Linked DNA regions of Drosophila melanogaster. The gene in region 1 interacts genetically with each later gene. Each region holds a gene or a part of one and is shown in the gene's direction. Other genes may lie near its edges.

Evidence for each region.
Region 2: of Rab39 (region 1) and dnd, changing one suppresses a phenotype caused by changing the other (phenotypic suppression), as found in Drosophila melanogaster (one study listed by BioGRID).

What each region holds. Positions count from the first base shown.
Region 1 is NC_004354.4:7,729,601-7,737,404, forward strand, and holds Rab39 (Rab39), read left to right. Parts: upstream 1-5,322; 5' UTR 5,323-5,627; coding exon 5,628-5,735; intron 5,736-6,163; coding exon 6,164-6,712; 3' UTR 6,713-7,156; downstream 7,157-7,804. Other genes in the region: CG12155 (uncharacterized protein), read left to right, coding at 62-1,545; Pdp (pyruvate dehydrogenase phosphatase), read right to left, coding at 2,402-2,645, 2,714-3,281, 3,388-3,889, 4,419-4,532.
Region 2 is NT_033777.3:21,883,109-21,890,912, reverse strand, and holds dnd (dead end), read left to right. Parts: upstream 1-3,557; 5' UTR 3,558-3,770; coding exon 3,771-3,773; exon of another isoform or gene 3,774-3,884; intron 3,885-4,496; coding exon 4,497-4,625; intron 4,626-4,688; coding exon 4,689-4,820; intron 4,821-4,878; coding exon 4,879-5,154; 3' UTR 5,155-5,237; downstream 5,238-7,804. Other genes in the region: CG43844 (uncharacterized protein), read right to left, coding at 999-1,295; CG6678 (uncharacterized protein), read right to left, coding at 1,646-2,074, 2,135-2,210, 2,359-2,878, 3,322-3,406; CG17819 (uncharacterized protein), read left to right, coding at 5,378-5,518, 5,581-5,715, 5,774-6,010, 6,068-6,115; fit (female-specific independent of transformer), read left to right, coding at 6,482-6,847; CG31465 (uncharacterized protein), read right to left, coding at 7,014-7,684, 7,742-7,804.

The sequences.
Region 1 (7,804 bases):
AAAGGAATACGATTCCTTTGAAACCCCGCTCATATTTATACTACCTCTTTCTTTCTTCCAGACAAGTACACGGTGCAGGAGGTGCGTCGTAAGTGGAAGAACCTGCGGGACACTTTCCACCAGTACCGTCTGCGCACGCCCAAGTACATCGAAGGGCGGCTATCCAAGTGGCGCTACGCCAAGGAGCTGGACTTCCTGTCGAAGGTGTACCAGCCGAAACTGAAATCGCACCGGAACACACAGATCACCTATGAGACGAGTGGGGTTGCCGGCGCCGGTGGAGGCATTGGAGGCGCGAATAGTACCACATTGCCCATTGGAGCTATGCTGCATTTGAAACAGCATGTGGACGATGACGACGACGAGGTGATGGACGATGACGGGCAATCGGATCACGATACCGCCACGCTCTCCTCACATCACGGCACCTCGCAGATCACCCTGGTCAGCGATGAGGCGGAAACCTTCATCCTGACCGCCTACGAGGAGGGCGTCTCGGATGACACTGTATCGCAGCACCACCATCACCATCATCATGGCCATCACCAGCAGGAGCATCATCACCAGCCGCACCACCACCACCACCACCATCATCATCAGTCGCAGCACGACGGCAGCATCTCCAGCATTGAGCTCTCCCAGATTGCCCACGATGACGATGTGGTCGATGATGTCGATGACGAAGATGATGTGGTCGACCACGACGGTCAGCTGGATATTGTGAAGCACGAACTGGACGAGGACGGGGCAACCGGCGCCGAGGTGGACTACGAAGAGGTGTGCCTGTACGAGGAGGCCAGCGGTGCCCATGTGGATTGCGAAATTGGTGTGGGTGACGCCGTGGACGGCGGTAGCGATGTTACCCACGGCAAGGGTTTCCATTACATCGATACACACGAATTTTGCATATCGGACATTGAGCCACAGACAGTTCGCTCCAGCCAGCATCAGTTCTCGGCCAGCGGTGGATCGGGCAATGGCTCAAATAGTGTCCTAACCGGTGGGACTGTGGTAACCGATGGCAAGGTAAAGAATCTCACGCTGGTAACAACCACGTCTCCTGCGGCTGGGGGCGGTGGATCAACCAATCGTCATGATTCCTCAGTGTCAACGCAGCAAATTTCCCTGGTGGATGTAACAGAGGCGACCAGTACCAGTGTGACGATTTCAAGCACGCCGGCCATTTCTCTGAATGCGACTACCGTGACTACCACGCCAGCAGCGGCGCTGTGCAATACCACATCCTTCACATCCACGCCGACGGCCACGATCATTCAGATGCCCCCCTTGAACTGCGGATCTGGCCAGCCATTGGCCGTTAGTGCGGCGGCCAGCAGTTCTAACAATCTCATCAAGGAGGATGAGCAGCATCAGCAGCAACAAGTGGCCCAGGCACTGGCCAAGCGTGATGAGCTCGATCTGTTCTTTGACTTTCTCAAGAAGAAGATGCAGTGCTTCAGCAAGACACAGATTACGCACATTCAGATGGAGTTCCTCAACTGTGTCAGCCGGCAGGAAGCGGCCGAACAGGATGGCAAGGATTAGGGACACCTGTTTTTAGTTATGTTCCCCAAAAAACAACCAATACGATCCCTGAGTAGTTGCCTAGTTTTTTCCATGTATAGGATTAGGATGCGTACCGTTTACCAGTTTGCAAGTTCGTGGATTCCGCGTTCTTCAATTAGCTTTATCCTCCACCCACGAAACCCCGGATCCCTGTATCCTTCACCCCTCTACACCATCCATTCGAGTAAAAATATATATACATATATATTAGCCAGCGTTACAATCAATTGTAATTGGAAATAAAAGAAAATAAATCGATTCTCGAAAACTACACAATTCGAAATTCTTAAAGTTGAATAGCTTGTTTGCAACAGATGATCTATACCTAAGTCTTAGGATTATCCTGGTTTCCCCCCCGTTTTATAGACCGAACTAAATTGAAAACAAGAAAATTGGCGTAAATTATAGAATAAGAAGTTTTAAATTGAATTAGATTATATACATTACGAATTGCTTGTAAATTTTAAACAGCAAAAATTAATATAAGTACTTGCTTTAAAAGAAAAAATAGTATCTACTTTACAAAATCACGAACTATTTGAGAAATAAATATATGAAGAAACCTTCTTGATTGCTTATAACCCTTGATATATACATATTTGCTGGGATTTTCATGTCATTTTTATTTTATTAACAAATGAGACGACCGATCATCGCTCTTTATGAATAACAAGACAATTTGCATATGTGATTTTTCGCTTTCCGCGTGCGATTTATTTGGCGCAGCAGTCGTCCGAGGTCCGATGGCGGATGAAACAAACTTAAACGCAACACTTAGGCTAGTTCGGCTGAAGGTTAGGCTCGTTAAATATACACATATGCACTCTCGCAGAGATCATGCTACCGGCGCAGTGACCTCCGTTTGATCCACATCGCTGTGCAGCTTGGCAATGTGCTCCGAGTTAAAGTAGATGACAGTGATTGTGATGTCGTCGCGATACAGACGCACCGCGTCCCTGGGCAGCGTCAAATAGTACGAGATCTTCGAGTGCTCAATCCCATAGTCGGTGCCGCCCAAAGCATGCCGGATGAGATGCGTGGCCGCGTTTTGGTCTACGGGTTTGCGAGTGAGGCCAGCCCTGCAATGCAATAAAAGCGTAATTAATAAATAAATAAATAACAAGCATACATTTAAAGGATAACTGACTTTCTTTCGGCCAGCTGCTGAGAGATTTCCTGCAGCGTTGTATCGCCTTCCGGCAGGCGCATCGGTTCGAGGATCTTTTTGGAGTTGATGTGCTCCCCCACCAAGCTGACCACCTCGCTGGGCGGAAGGAAATCCCATAGGCCGTCGCTGGCGATGACTAGAAACTTGTCGTTGGGCCCCAATTCGTGCTGCTGGACATCGGGGCGGGCGGTTAGGTACGGTGGCGTATAGTAATTCGGCGCCATTGCCTGCACGCCGAACATCGGCAGCACCTTCTGCTGCATTATTTCCTGGGACCACTTGTAGCGAAAGTCCCCAAAGGCACGCAACGGCGCCAGCTGGCTAAGCAGCCTGCCGTTTCGGATCACCGTCTCATGCTCCTCCTTGGGATGCTCGGCCAGAATGCGACGCACCTCGGACATATTGTCAGCATTGTGTTCGATGTTAAGCTTCTTTGAGTGCCACTGCTGCGTCTGGGGATCAAGAACGCCCAACACTGCGCCACAATCACCCGTGCTGGCCACGTGCATCTGCAGTCCCTCAATGTGAACCAAACAGGCAACGGCTCCTGGAAAATAAACACATTTATAGTTTAGAAATGAAGCCCCTATGAAGAGGAAAGTATGAAACGGGATGGCAACTTATATACATAAATAAATGGATACATCACCCACCAGAAAGGGCCACGTTCATGGTGCGTACATCGTTGCTGGTCAGAGCCTCCTGCGAGATCTCTTCATCCAGCTGGAGGAAGGCGTTCACCAGTTCACTGGATACATCCCGTTGCGGTGTCTCTAACAATTGATTGACATACTTGAGGAAACTAGCCTCGTACATGGGCTTGATCATGCTAACAAAGTCCACGTTGTCATTGTGGCACTTGAGGAACGACTGGCTGTCGGCACCCTGCTTCATCTGCTCCCGGAGCACCTGGCGCGGCAGCGTGGCCGCCGAAACATAGCGAAGCAGTCGCTTGGACACCACTTGGCCACATGCTGCTCCCGCATGCCCGTCGAAAATGCCACAAATGAAGCCGTTGCGGTGCAGGAAGCTGGCCTCCGTGCGGGAATCCTCGCAGGGCCAGTTTGATCCCAGCTGATTTGTTTCATAGCTGCGGATGACTCCATCCACGGGAAAGTTGTAAACGAACTCGTTCTCCCTCAGAACAAGGTTAACCTGTGAAAATAGTTTACATTAATACAGATTCTTACTCTTTATGTGGGAATTACAAAGGTTCCCATGGTAATAGTTATTAATCAGTTAATTCTTATTCGGTTCCTAAAAATTTTGTTCTTAAGCCGCTTGGTATGGACTCTTGTCCAGTGCAAACGATCAAATGAAATTAACTGCTCAGTAAAGGCATTATAAATGGTTGCTGTAGTTGAAATATGAATATGGAAAATCGAATACAGTCGGGTCGACGTCGTTCACTTTGTTTATAGGAAAACACTCGGGACTTTCTTGAAAGCCCTTGAAAGTAGTTATTGGATCTTCAGAAAATTATGCAGGCTTTATAGTTAAATTTTTAAACGGCTTAGGGATGTAATGCATAGATTTGTGGTTTCTAAAAGTAGCTTCAATAGGAAAAATCCAAAATAATTAATAAGTAAAGAAGTACTTTCGATCGAAGATCTTACAAACTGATTACATTTTACGAACCCTGCCCAGCTTGCTAATGACACTTGCCAGGAACCCCAAATCTTACATCGTATGGACTCAATTGAGGCAGTTGCGGCAGCAGACGCAGTGCATTCAAACTGAACTCCCGCACATTGGATCGCACGTAGCTGGCGGCGTCGTTCAGCACGAACTTGAACATCTATATGGAGATTTTGTATATGCTCTCGCCCCGCTGTGGCTATAATTAACGGTAATGATATTGGTTCCGTAACCAAATCGGGGGAGGAGTAGGCAAAGAAGATGGAGGAGAACGTGGTGGATTCCGTATCCCGGAGCCTCCGGCTGATTCACCGACTCCGGTTGCCGGTTGCTGACAAAGGGATCTTATTTTCCGCTGTTGCTTTTGATTGGCCGGCGGCTTGTTTGTACATTTGTGTGCTGTGAAATACGAAGCGGACGGTGTTCACGGAAAACAAACGTAAAAAGAAAATACAGTGCGTACTAGCGATGGGTTTTTCTCTGCACGAGACAGCCTAGAACGAAAATGAACACGCACGTCTTAATTTATGTGTCAAAGCACTGTACAAGGCCAAATCTTTTTGTGTAATTATTGTAAATTTATTAGCTTAATATGAAAGATTATTTTATTTTTTTTGTCATATTTTCTCAGAACAATTTAAACTAACTACATTTGTATGCATTCATCGTGTCACGCGAAATCGCGTTCTTTGACCATCTCTATTGGGCGGCGGTGCCAGACTGGCGGTGTTGCCATTAGCCGGTTACCGTTTTCAAGCCAAGTCTAGCTAGTTTTTGTGTACCGCCGAAAAATACATCTAAGCTTGTTAAAAAATCTGAAAACTGCCAAATTGATGTGAGGACACTATTTTTATTAAATAATTTAGAAGATATAACTGTTTAATAATGGTAATGAAATAATTTCATTGTGGCTACTATCGATTACTTTTGCTGGTCTGGCAACGTTGTCATTATCACACACACGCGCACGCATATGAGAAAAAAACACAAAACAAAACAAAATTCGAAGGAATTTGAATTCTCGAATATTTATAATTTAACAACCACCAGCGACAGCCGGAAATATCTCATTGCAAAGCCAGTAATCGTGTGAAGAACAGAAAGTTTCGATTTGCAATACAACTGCAGGAAATAAGAAGAAAAACGAGCAGCATAAGCAAATCAACGATTTGCGTATCAAACTTTACAAAGGGAAGGCAGATTTTTTGCTGCGGATTCAATTCCAAGAGACAAATCCCTCGAATTCGGCTTCGGAATGGTGGAACCCATTTTCGAGTATCAATTTCGACTGATTTTAATCGGCGACAGCACCGTGGGCAAGAGCTCGCTGCTCAAATTCTTCACAGACGGCAAATTCGCCGAGGTGCGTATGTCCAACGATTTTGGCCACTGTACTTGGACGCTTGGCCCACTGTGCGATCTTCGTGAGATGCAGTTAATGCGTTCATTACATAATTAAGTGATTGCATTGGGCGAGATACAACAAAAAATAGACAAAGGGAGTGGATTTTAAAAAGATGCTGCCTTAGTCACCTTGTCAGTGTGTGTGTGTGCTGGTGTGCATGTTTGTGTGCTCGCCTGATAATGCAGGCAGCAAAAACAACACACAAGTCCAAAATAGGACCAGGGATACTCAAATAACTGCGCGGGAAATTTAAAAACATAGAGATATCATGAATTGTGTGGAATCAAAAGTGTTCTCAAAAGCATTACAGCTCTAAACTGCGTTTCTTTTTACTGCCTCCCAAGAATCCACCTAATCATAAATAACACAATATTTACATTTTGCAGTTATCCGATCCCACAGTTGGCGTCGACTTCTTTGCCCGCCTCATCGAAATGAAGGACGGCACACAGATCAAGCTCCAGCTGTGGGACACTGCTGGCCAAGAGCGCTTCCGTTCGATCACCAAGTCCTACTACCGGAACTCGGTTGGCGTGCTGCTGGTCTACGACATATCGAATCACGCCAGCTTCGAGCACATACCGCTGTGGATGATGGAGGCACAGCGTCACATTGAGCCCCACCGCCCCGTTTTCGCATTGGTCGGCTGCAAACTGGACCTCATCAATGCGGGCGGACACCGGGAGGTGACCACAGAGGAGGCACAAAAATTTGCCAAACAGCACGGTCTGCATTTCGTTGAGACATCGGCCCGGTCTGGTGCCAATGTGGAGGAGGCATTTCGCATGGTCACCCAGGAGGTGTACGCCCGCATTCGATCCGGCGAATATAAGGCGGAGGATGGATGGGACGGCATCAAGTCTGGCTTTTCGCGACCCAATAGTCTGGACTTTAATCTCGTCGTAGCAGAGCCGGAAAAGTCATCATGTTGTTGATTCACCCCGACCTCATTGTCTATTATTTTCAATACTGTTTATGTACATTGATTTGTATCGTATGACCCACCAGTACTCCTTTTCCCCCCTAAACACCAATTTGTTGACTCTTTAATCTTGTTTAATCGTCTAGTTTAGCTAAAAAACCAAAACAGTTACGTATATTTACACAATGCGTTTTTTTTCTAATTACATATAGTTAATCGCTTTTAAGTTAATATTTAGTTCGGTGACTCACGGTAATTAGTGAAGATTGAGTTTGAACCCCTCTTTCCAAATTATGTTTACTTCGCCCCTATAATTGATAGCCAGTCACACGAGGTATACGTAGCCGAGATTCTGCGCTCCTAACTCATACAACACATAACTCCACATACACAAATACGAAAGGAAAAGCTATACATATACTTAAAACTTGAAATATAAACGTTTTTATTAATACGGACGGCATGCATTTGGTTAATCAAGGGTTAGCTTGGGCTTTGTTTTTGTCTAATCTAATCGATTTAGAGTTTTTATGCACATTTCTCCGCTTTGTTAAATCAAAGGAGTCTTGAAGCAATTGTCAAAAAAGCAACCTGTGTGATACACAAACGTTCGTAGCTGCACGGTTTCCAAAATTTACAATTTTACAATAAAAGAATTCGCGGCATATTTGGCGGCTGTTTACATATATGTGCTTTATTTCGTTTATTAAATTTTTCGCAAAGTTTAGTCCACTTGATAGATAACCCAAAACTTAGCTGCGACGATTTCTATTGTTGTTTTACACCTTCGTAGTTGTGCTCAATCAATCTAGATTTTGTTGGAAATTTCCATAAATATTGGTGGCCTCATCGGTCTGGCAACAACAGGTAATTCCTTTAATTCTTTAATCATTACTTGTTTCTTAGTAGTGCAAATTAAATAATGTAATGTAAAGAAGTTGGAAAAATCTTTTTCAAATTTGTTCGCGCATGTGACAGTGTTCCCAGACCAACTTTTTTCGCAACGTTGTGGTCTTTTTTAGGCATACATCATACTGACATCTTTTGGCGGAGCAAAGACTGTCTTACCATCTGGTAACACTGGTCGAGACATAATAACCTCCGA
Region 2 (7,804 bases), on another chromosome or scaffold:
TAAAAGTGACAAGCCTCCCCACTTTATTGCTTATTTTGTACCGGGTGTTTTCTTTTTTCGATGATAACAATATTTGCCAAGTTAAAAACGGAAAAATAAGAAATGAAGTGTAAGACCCAAAAGCAAAGCCTGTTTACGCACCACATGTGTGCGTGTCGCCAGAACTGCACTGAACTGCCTGCCACCCAGTGCATTATAAGATAAACATTTGTTTTTACTTTTTCATTTGGCAAATAACATAAAAGCGTTGAACTCGATCGCGGACCATAAAGCGGAAAATTCGCCTATAGGATCGGCAACGGTAGATGTTGACTATAATAAATGCAAATTTCGAAAAAAAATCTATTAGAAACTGTATAAAATTCTCTTCGAAAAATTGGAAAAAACATACTTCAATTTTAGTATAAATATATCTACATATATGGCTTTATAATCAGCTAAAAATCCAATCTCAGAAGCGTACAGTTTTCATAAAAATTCCTCTTTAAGAAGTTATAAGCAATCGAAATGAGCATTTCCCAGTCGAATCAATTGAACTGTTATCGTATCGAATATATCCCGTATATGACGCATAAAATTCCTATCAAAACCTTTGCAAGTAACGCACTTCCACGAAATCGAAATAATCGCGCCGAGTTAAAGTTAAAACAAAGAAAAGAAATTCCAACCAATCAGTCGGTCAGTCAGTCAGTCAGTCAATCAGTCGGTCAGTCAATCAGTCATTTAGTCAGGCGAACGGCTCAAGTGCTGAAAAGTTTATTGCACTGCGAGCGTCGGACTTTTGCTATGGCAAATATTGTTTAATACCATTTTTAAAAATAAAATTTACTGATTAAATGTGCAGCGACGACAACGACAAAGTCGACGAACGTTGACACAATGGCGGTCCTACCCCAAGACGAAATTATTTGAGCACTCTTGTTTTAATGGGACAATAAACGGACTGTAGCTATAGAGCTTCTATAGCAATAAGGCGGGAACAGAGTTCAGAGCCGAGACTATATTCCGGCGCCTATGACCATCGGAATCGGAATATTGAACGTCAGCATCACCTCTATCATTAGCACGAGCAGGAGTGTGGTTTGAACGGTTTCCCTTATCAGCATCATTTGATTTTCCCGGTGATCGCCCTTGTTCCATACCAGATACTCATTATCCAACGCGTCCTGCAGCGAACAGTCCATGTATCCGTATGGATACATCATTTGCACGGTGATACGCCATATTAGAATAAAGAATATACTGGGACTGGGAATGAGGAAGTTTCTTACAGGCCAACGACTCTGATCCTGCATACTTCTTAACTTACGCCATGCTCAAGGGCAATCCGCTCATCCAGCCTGTCTTTGGTAATTTAAAAGTACTAAAATAGTGGGGAAACACTTATTCCAATGCCTACTTATCTACATAAGTTGGTAATATATGCAATATAATACAAATGTTAAATTACTCATCATACAACGTATTTTGTACATATATACAAAGTAGATAAAAGTCAAGTAAAATGTGTGGCAATACATTTTACATGAAGGCAACCAAGTTGACATGTAAATTGGTTTGTGTCCAAGCTGTGTTCAATTCAGTAGATTTAATAGTGAAGCCATTTTAAAAGGTACATATGTATGTGTCTTCAATCCAACGTTACCTTCAAATGGAGCAGCGTTGACCATGGCCCACAGAGAACATCATCCACAGTAGGGTTCATCGTGATACCTTCCAGGGCCTGAAAAGCATCCACATAGGACAGGTCTTGGAGCTGCCTGCCAAGTTGACCGTGCTTGCACCAACCACTGACCCATAGCCGCCCGCATCGGCGGATCAGCAGAGTGTGACGAGATCCAGCAAACACCCTCAGCGGTGCGCAATCATCGTTGCTCTCCCCGCTTTGGGAGCAGGCACATTCGGGCAGATCTTGCAACTGGGGCAGCGGAAATACAGTGGGCTCTTTGAGGACGCCACCGGGTTTCATCACACGCAATCCCAGCTGACCGCTGCAGTTGAGGCCCCAGGTGTAGAGGTCTCCAAAGGCGGATATGGCCGCACTGTGCCAACCACCGGCAGCAATTTGAGTTATCTGCAAGGCACTTGAATGTGTGACAGACAAGATAAGTGGACAAGTCAAATATATATATACCTTGATCCCCGCCAGCGCCTCCAGCAATTGAGGCGTCTCCTCCACTCTCAGTTCCGCCAGACCCAACTGTCCGCGTCTGTTAATTATGACATAGAAGTGAAAAAAATTGTTAGGAATTAGAATAAGAAACTCGCTAATATCTAAATATCTTAAAACCAGAATATGTAAATATTTATAGGCTGCATTTCTGCACAGCCAACGCATTCATTATGACCTTTACTTACAGTCCATTTCCCCAGGTGAACACGTCGCCATTGGCATTGAGGAGCACGGCATGTTCATGGCCGCATTGGAGCTGCTTCACCCGAAATTGGCGCTCGGAAAACTGATGCAGGCAGCTGGGAATGCTGTAGACACAGTTTTCCGAACTTATCGCTACGTTTATGTGCGATCCACATGCAATATGCTCTATGATCGGCGACGAAGGCGCCTTGGCAGCCCCAAAGATAGAGCGCTTTGTACCCGAATTGGATCTGGGAGCAGCTTCTAGTCTAACAGCCACCAGTTCCGCTTGCAGTTTTGGTTGCACCCTGTAAAGCTGACCGCTTTGGAGTAGCACCAGGCAGTGGGAATCGGCAGCGGCAAGGGCCCTTATGTTCCCCGTTGCTTCCAGGGTCACGCACTCATTTGGGCCATCATCCAAGAGCCCACGCAGGCACAACTTCCGGCCAAAAGCGAGGGCCGCATACCGCCAGCCGATCGAAATCGTGCACTGGTTCTGAGTCGAGACTGGCGCATTTAATTCTGTAATAAAGGCAGAACTGAATTAGTACACATACATACATACGGTGGAAGCCCCCTAAAAAGATTTTGTCTAAGTTATTAGTTTATCAATTTCATTGCTATGTATGTATTTGGCCAATCAAAAAATGCAGTTGGCACCAAGTACCGATGTGTAATTTACCCTATAACTGTCAATTAAAATGCAGTCTATATCCAATGCATGAATATGAATATGCAAAGAATTTTATGGATTAATGTCCTACGTATATATTCACCTGAAAATCACTATACTCTATTTTAAACATGAAATCTTAAAAATTCATCTGGCTTAAATCGGATTCAGTTTTATAAGATAGAATTAGAATTGTAAAAATGGTATAAGCTGCATGCATCCCAGCGAGTTCTATAGCGAGTGCCTACTGTAGCAACTAAGTGATCGGCGGCTTTTGTTGCCGGTTACAAACCGCTGAAGCCGGCTGCGCAGTCGACGTCGCCGCTTACACATTCATGCTGGCCAAATGCGTTGAAGCCCGTAAATAGCAGCGGCATCTTCTTCCCGTTCCCGTTCCAATTCGAATACCGCTCGACCCGCACCCCCACCACGTCCCCCGTCTAACAATCCTTTGCAGCGGTTGCTCGGCGACCGTTGGCGCTGTTGTTGTTGCTGTCGGAATTTGTTAGAGCGTTGAGCGAATTTTGTTTTCAGTAGTTGTGCAGCGACGAGCCAGTGATGTTGTGTTTGGTGGTTGAAGTTGATCCAATTCTCAAGTTATCCGACTTTTCCTGAGTTGACCACCAGAAGACACCGTCTTGGGCGGCCAGAGCAGATTGCCGAATCGGGGGGATACAGATACGGATATAGTGGTCGGAGATCGCACCGCCTCCTGGCTGTTATTCTCGCGTTAATTATACGATGGTAGGTTGTCTCCCGGTTCCGTAACAGCTAATTAAGTGCCTTGTTGTTCCGTAATTGCACGATTTGTTTTCATTTTGCGATCGTCGCCATGGAAACCCGCCTCAAAAACTATACAACACTTTTTTGTTAGAGCAGAACTTTTTTCAGCACTACTTCGAAAGTTTTAGGCGCGTAATTATCGGTATTCGAAAAAAAAAACCAAATTGGTGGTTCGGAAAACAAAGAAACATAATAAGCTTTTTGTAGCACACAATGGAAAAAAGAGTTCTTAATTTTTAAGTGAACATGGCAAATTTTTTTACCAATAAACATTTTTATTTCATTCAACCTTGTTGTCGTTTCTTTTGGCGAGCCCTTATCTCAATTCCAACAATATGTTTGTAAAGTTCACCTGTTGATAAGCTTTTTGCATTCTATCACTAAGAGAACGTTTTAATTGCAAGTTTTTTTTTTACAACTTTACATCGTCTTTATTGATAACAACATTGATAATAACAAAACATGTGTGTTTACAAGCATATGTTGCATTTATAAAAACACATATATTTATTAACAATTTTACAAGTTTATAAACTACCAAATGTAGATTGTTATTCAAAATTTCAAAGATAGACCAGAGGATACTACCGAGTCTAGACTAATACTGGTAATCAGGTGCTAGAATAACACACCTTCAAAAAACTAAGTAGAAAAAACAACAACTTAATAGCTTACAAATTTTAGGGTCTGCTATCGCTGTTGCGTAAACTGAGACCCAATCCGGAAAAGGAGGCTCGCATCCTGCTCCTAGGATTGGATAATGCTGGCAAGACCACGATACTGAAGCAGCTGGCATCGGAGGACATAACCACGGTGCGTATAAAGGCGGCGAACTTCTTCCGTTTTCCCCATAAAATACGGAGTGAAATCCCGCAGGTAACGCCCACGGCAGGATTTAACATCAAGTCCGTGGCAGCCGATGGTTTCAAACTGAATGTATGGGATATTGGTGGTCAATGGAAGATACGTCCATATTGGAAGAACTATTTTGCGAATACTGATGTGCTGGTAGGATTGTTATAGATCTAAACTCAATTCTGTTAGCTAATAGTTTCGATTATTTCAGATCTATGTAATTGACTGTACAGATCGGACTCGCCTGCCCGAGGCGGGTAGTGAACTATTCGAAATGCTCATGGACAATCGGTTGAAGCAAGTTCCCGTGCTGATTTTCGCTAACAAACAGGATATGCCGGATGCCATGAGTGCCGCCGAGGTGGCCGAGAAGATGAGCTTGGTGCAACTGCAGGGACGAACCTGGGAGATCAAGGCCTGTACCGCTGTGGATGGCACTGGACTAAAGGAGGGAATGGACTGGGTCTGCAAGAATATGAAGAAGTAATCTAAATTATAGTAATCGTCGCCTGTTAAGTTGTCCCTAAGAACTAAATATACGTACCTACATTTCAACTCACCAAAAGTATCACAATCTCTAATTGTTGGATGAATCTTCCTTTTTTCACGTGTATCTTTAAGTATAAACTGAATATATAGTTGAGAAGGCTATGCTAGTTAAATCATTCATTTTTACCTGACATCTAAACTGAAATCAAATTTCGATCCCCATGTGTTTTTACGGACCTGTTTCGTTCATAAAAAAGATCCTGCCCGCAGGCTCTCAGAAATCATGTCTGCTCATTTTAGGATTAGACAATGCGGGAAAATCCACGTTGACAGACCGCCTGGCGGAAATTTTCAATGGAGAAGTAAGGCCATATATGTGATGGTCCTATCTCCATTTGATAATGTTAGCATAAACTATTTGCAGTCCAAGGAATCTAACAATCAAGTTAGTGAATGGAGCTTCACCATAAATAATTTCAGAGTCCAGTTGTGGGATATTAACGGAGAACTGAAGAATCGCCAGATCTGGCCAAAGTATTATAAGAAAGTGAATGTTTTGGTGAGAGGAGAACTTATATAGAACTTATATAGACTCGACTACAATCCCTGAACCGTAGATTTTTGTACTGGATAGCACGGATGCACTGCGGCTAAGCGAGGCGCGATGTGTTTTATGCGATGTTTTGATGCACCAGGAACTGGATAATGCTCCGCTGCTGATCGTGTCCAACAAGAAGGACGCCTCGGGATCCCTGTCCATGTCCACGGTTATCGATTTGATGGGCCTATATCGCCTAACTGGTCGAGATTGGACTTTTGAGGAATGTTCCATGCGGACAGGGTCTGGTGTTCAGGTATATGTTGTGTTCTATATTCGAAATCTGATAATTTAACTTATACTATCTGGGTAGGAGATCGTAAATTGGATTAACGAAAAGATCAACAATAACAGGAAGTGATTTATCACATTTTTATATTTTCAAAAATTTGGCAACCTATTAACTAATATATTAAATATATATTTAATGTAATTTAGCAACAATAGTTTGTTACACTTGTATTATAGAAATTATTTGCCTCAAATAATGATTCATTTAGTTTGCTGATCGGCAAACACTCTTTTAATTAATACATTAATACAGCCATTTGCTAATCAATGATTTTTGACATTGACCTCTGTCAATAATTGAAAAACTCGTGGCTGAGTAGCAACATTGTGAGGACAAAGCCCTTTTGCATTATCAGTTATTAGTTGTTGTTGCTTTTGGGGCTATAAAAGGGTTAGTTATAGAATTGACTGGCACAGTTTAACAGCGATCGTTGAAATGAACTCAACTCTGGTGATTCTACTTCTTTCGGCTCTGGCTTTGGTGCAGGCCAGGAATATTCGTTGGTCTGAGGAGGACAACTCGTCCCAAGGTCCAAGTCTAAGCCACCCGCATCCGCACTCTGTCAACTGGCCCTGTGATGTGGGTCACTTCCCAGAGGCATTCATTCTAATGCACAAGGTGGATAAGCGACTGGAACGAATTGACAACGAGAGTACCAAGAAACGGATCGAGAACTACGCCGTCAATCAGTTGAGGCAGTGCATCTTGGATGGCCAGATGGACGTGCACTGCGTTAGGCGTTCGATTGGATACACCATGTCATTCATTCACCACCAAATGAGCCAGGCGAATGGAATGTAAGCTCACGACTTGGTGATCAGTTGATATAATTTAAGGACATTCCTTTAGCCACCTTTTTTTTGCAAAATGCATTTTAATAATCAAATCCTTTCAAACGAACTAATTAGTAACAAATTATCAAAATAAATTAAGTTTAAATAATAATTAATTTAAATTCAGCTTTGTCTTATGGGTTTGGATTCCCATTCGTTTCGCGCGAAGCTTGAGGAGCAAGCTTGTGGCACTTTTCCTGCTCGGCCAGCTGGCGCTCCTTTTCCATTTTGGCGAACTTGCTGCCCATATAGAGCTGCTCCTTGAATCGATTCTTTCGCCGCTCATCCATACTGTATCGTCGTAGCATATCCCGTCTGTCCACAATCGACATGCAGATGTCCTGGCAATCCCGCGACGGCTGGCAGAAGCTCCACGAACCGAAAATGGTGTCCACACAGCCGCAGGTGCGACAATAGCCAACAAAGTGACCGATCAGATTGGAATTCGCCTTGCGGAAGGATAGAGAAAGTGGCCCGCCCAGGATCATCATAGCTTGTCCCGAGAAATACCAATCGGTGAGATTATCCAGGAGATCGTGGGCCCTCGGCGGCACTGTCTCCTGCACACTAATATTTAGCTTAATGCCATGGTAATTGGGAGTTTTCAAGTCGGCCGCATCCTTCAACTGCGTCCTGTTCATCTTGACGCACTGTCGTCTCGTCCTGCGATAGGTACGACCTTTGTGTTGGCTACAGGTCGGCTTTTCCGCTTCTTCGCCATCTGAATTTGTTGGCGGGGTCTTGATATTTATGCGAATGCCAAGGACTTGAGATTCCCAGGATCCGTTTAGATCGCAGGGCGCACCTGAAGTTTTAAACTTTATATACATACATGAATCTTAGCTCTACCACCTATTCTTACCATCAGCTGGATCCACGAAGCAGCAGGGCAGCTTTCTCTCCTCCTCCTCTTCCGACGATTGAT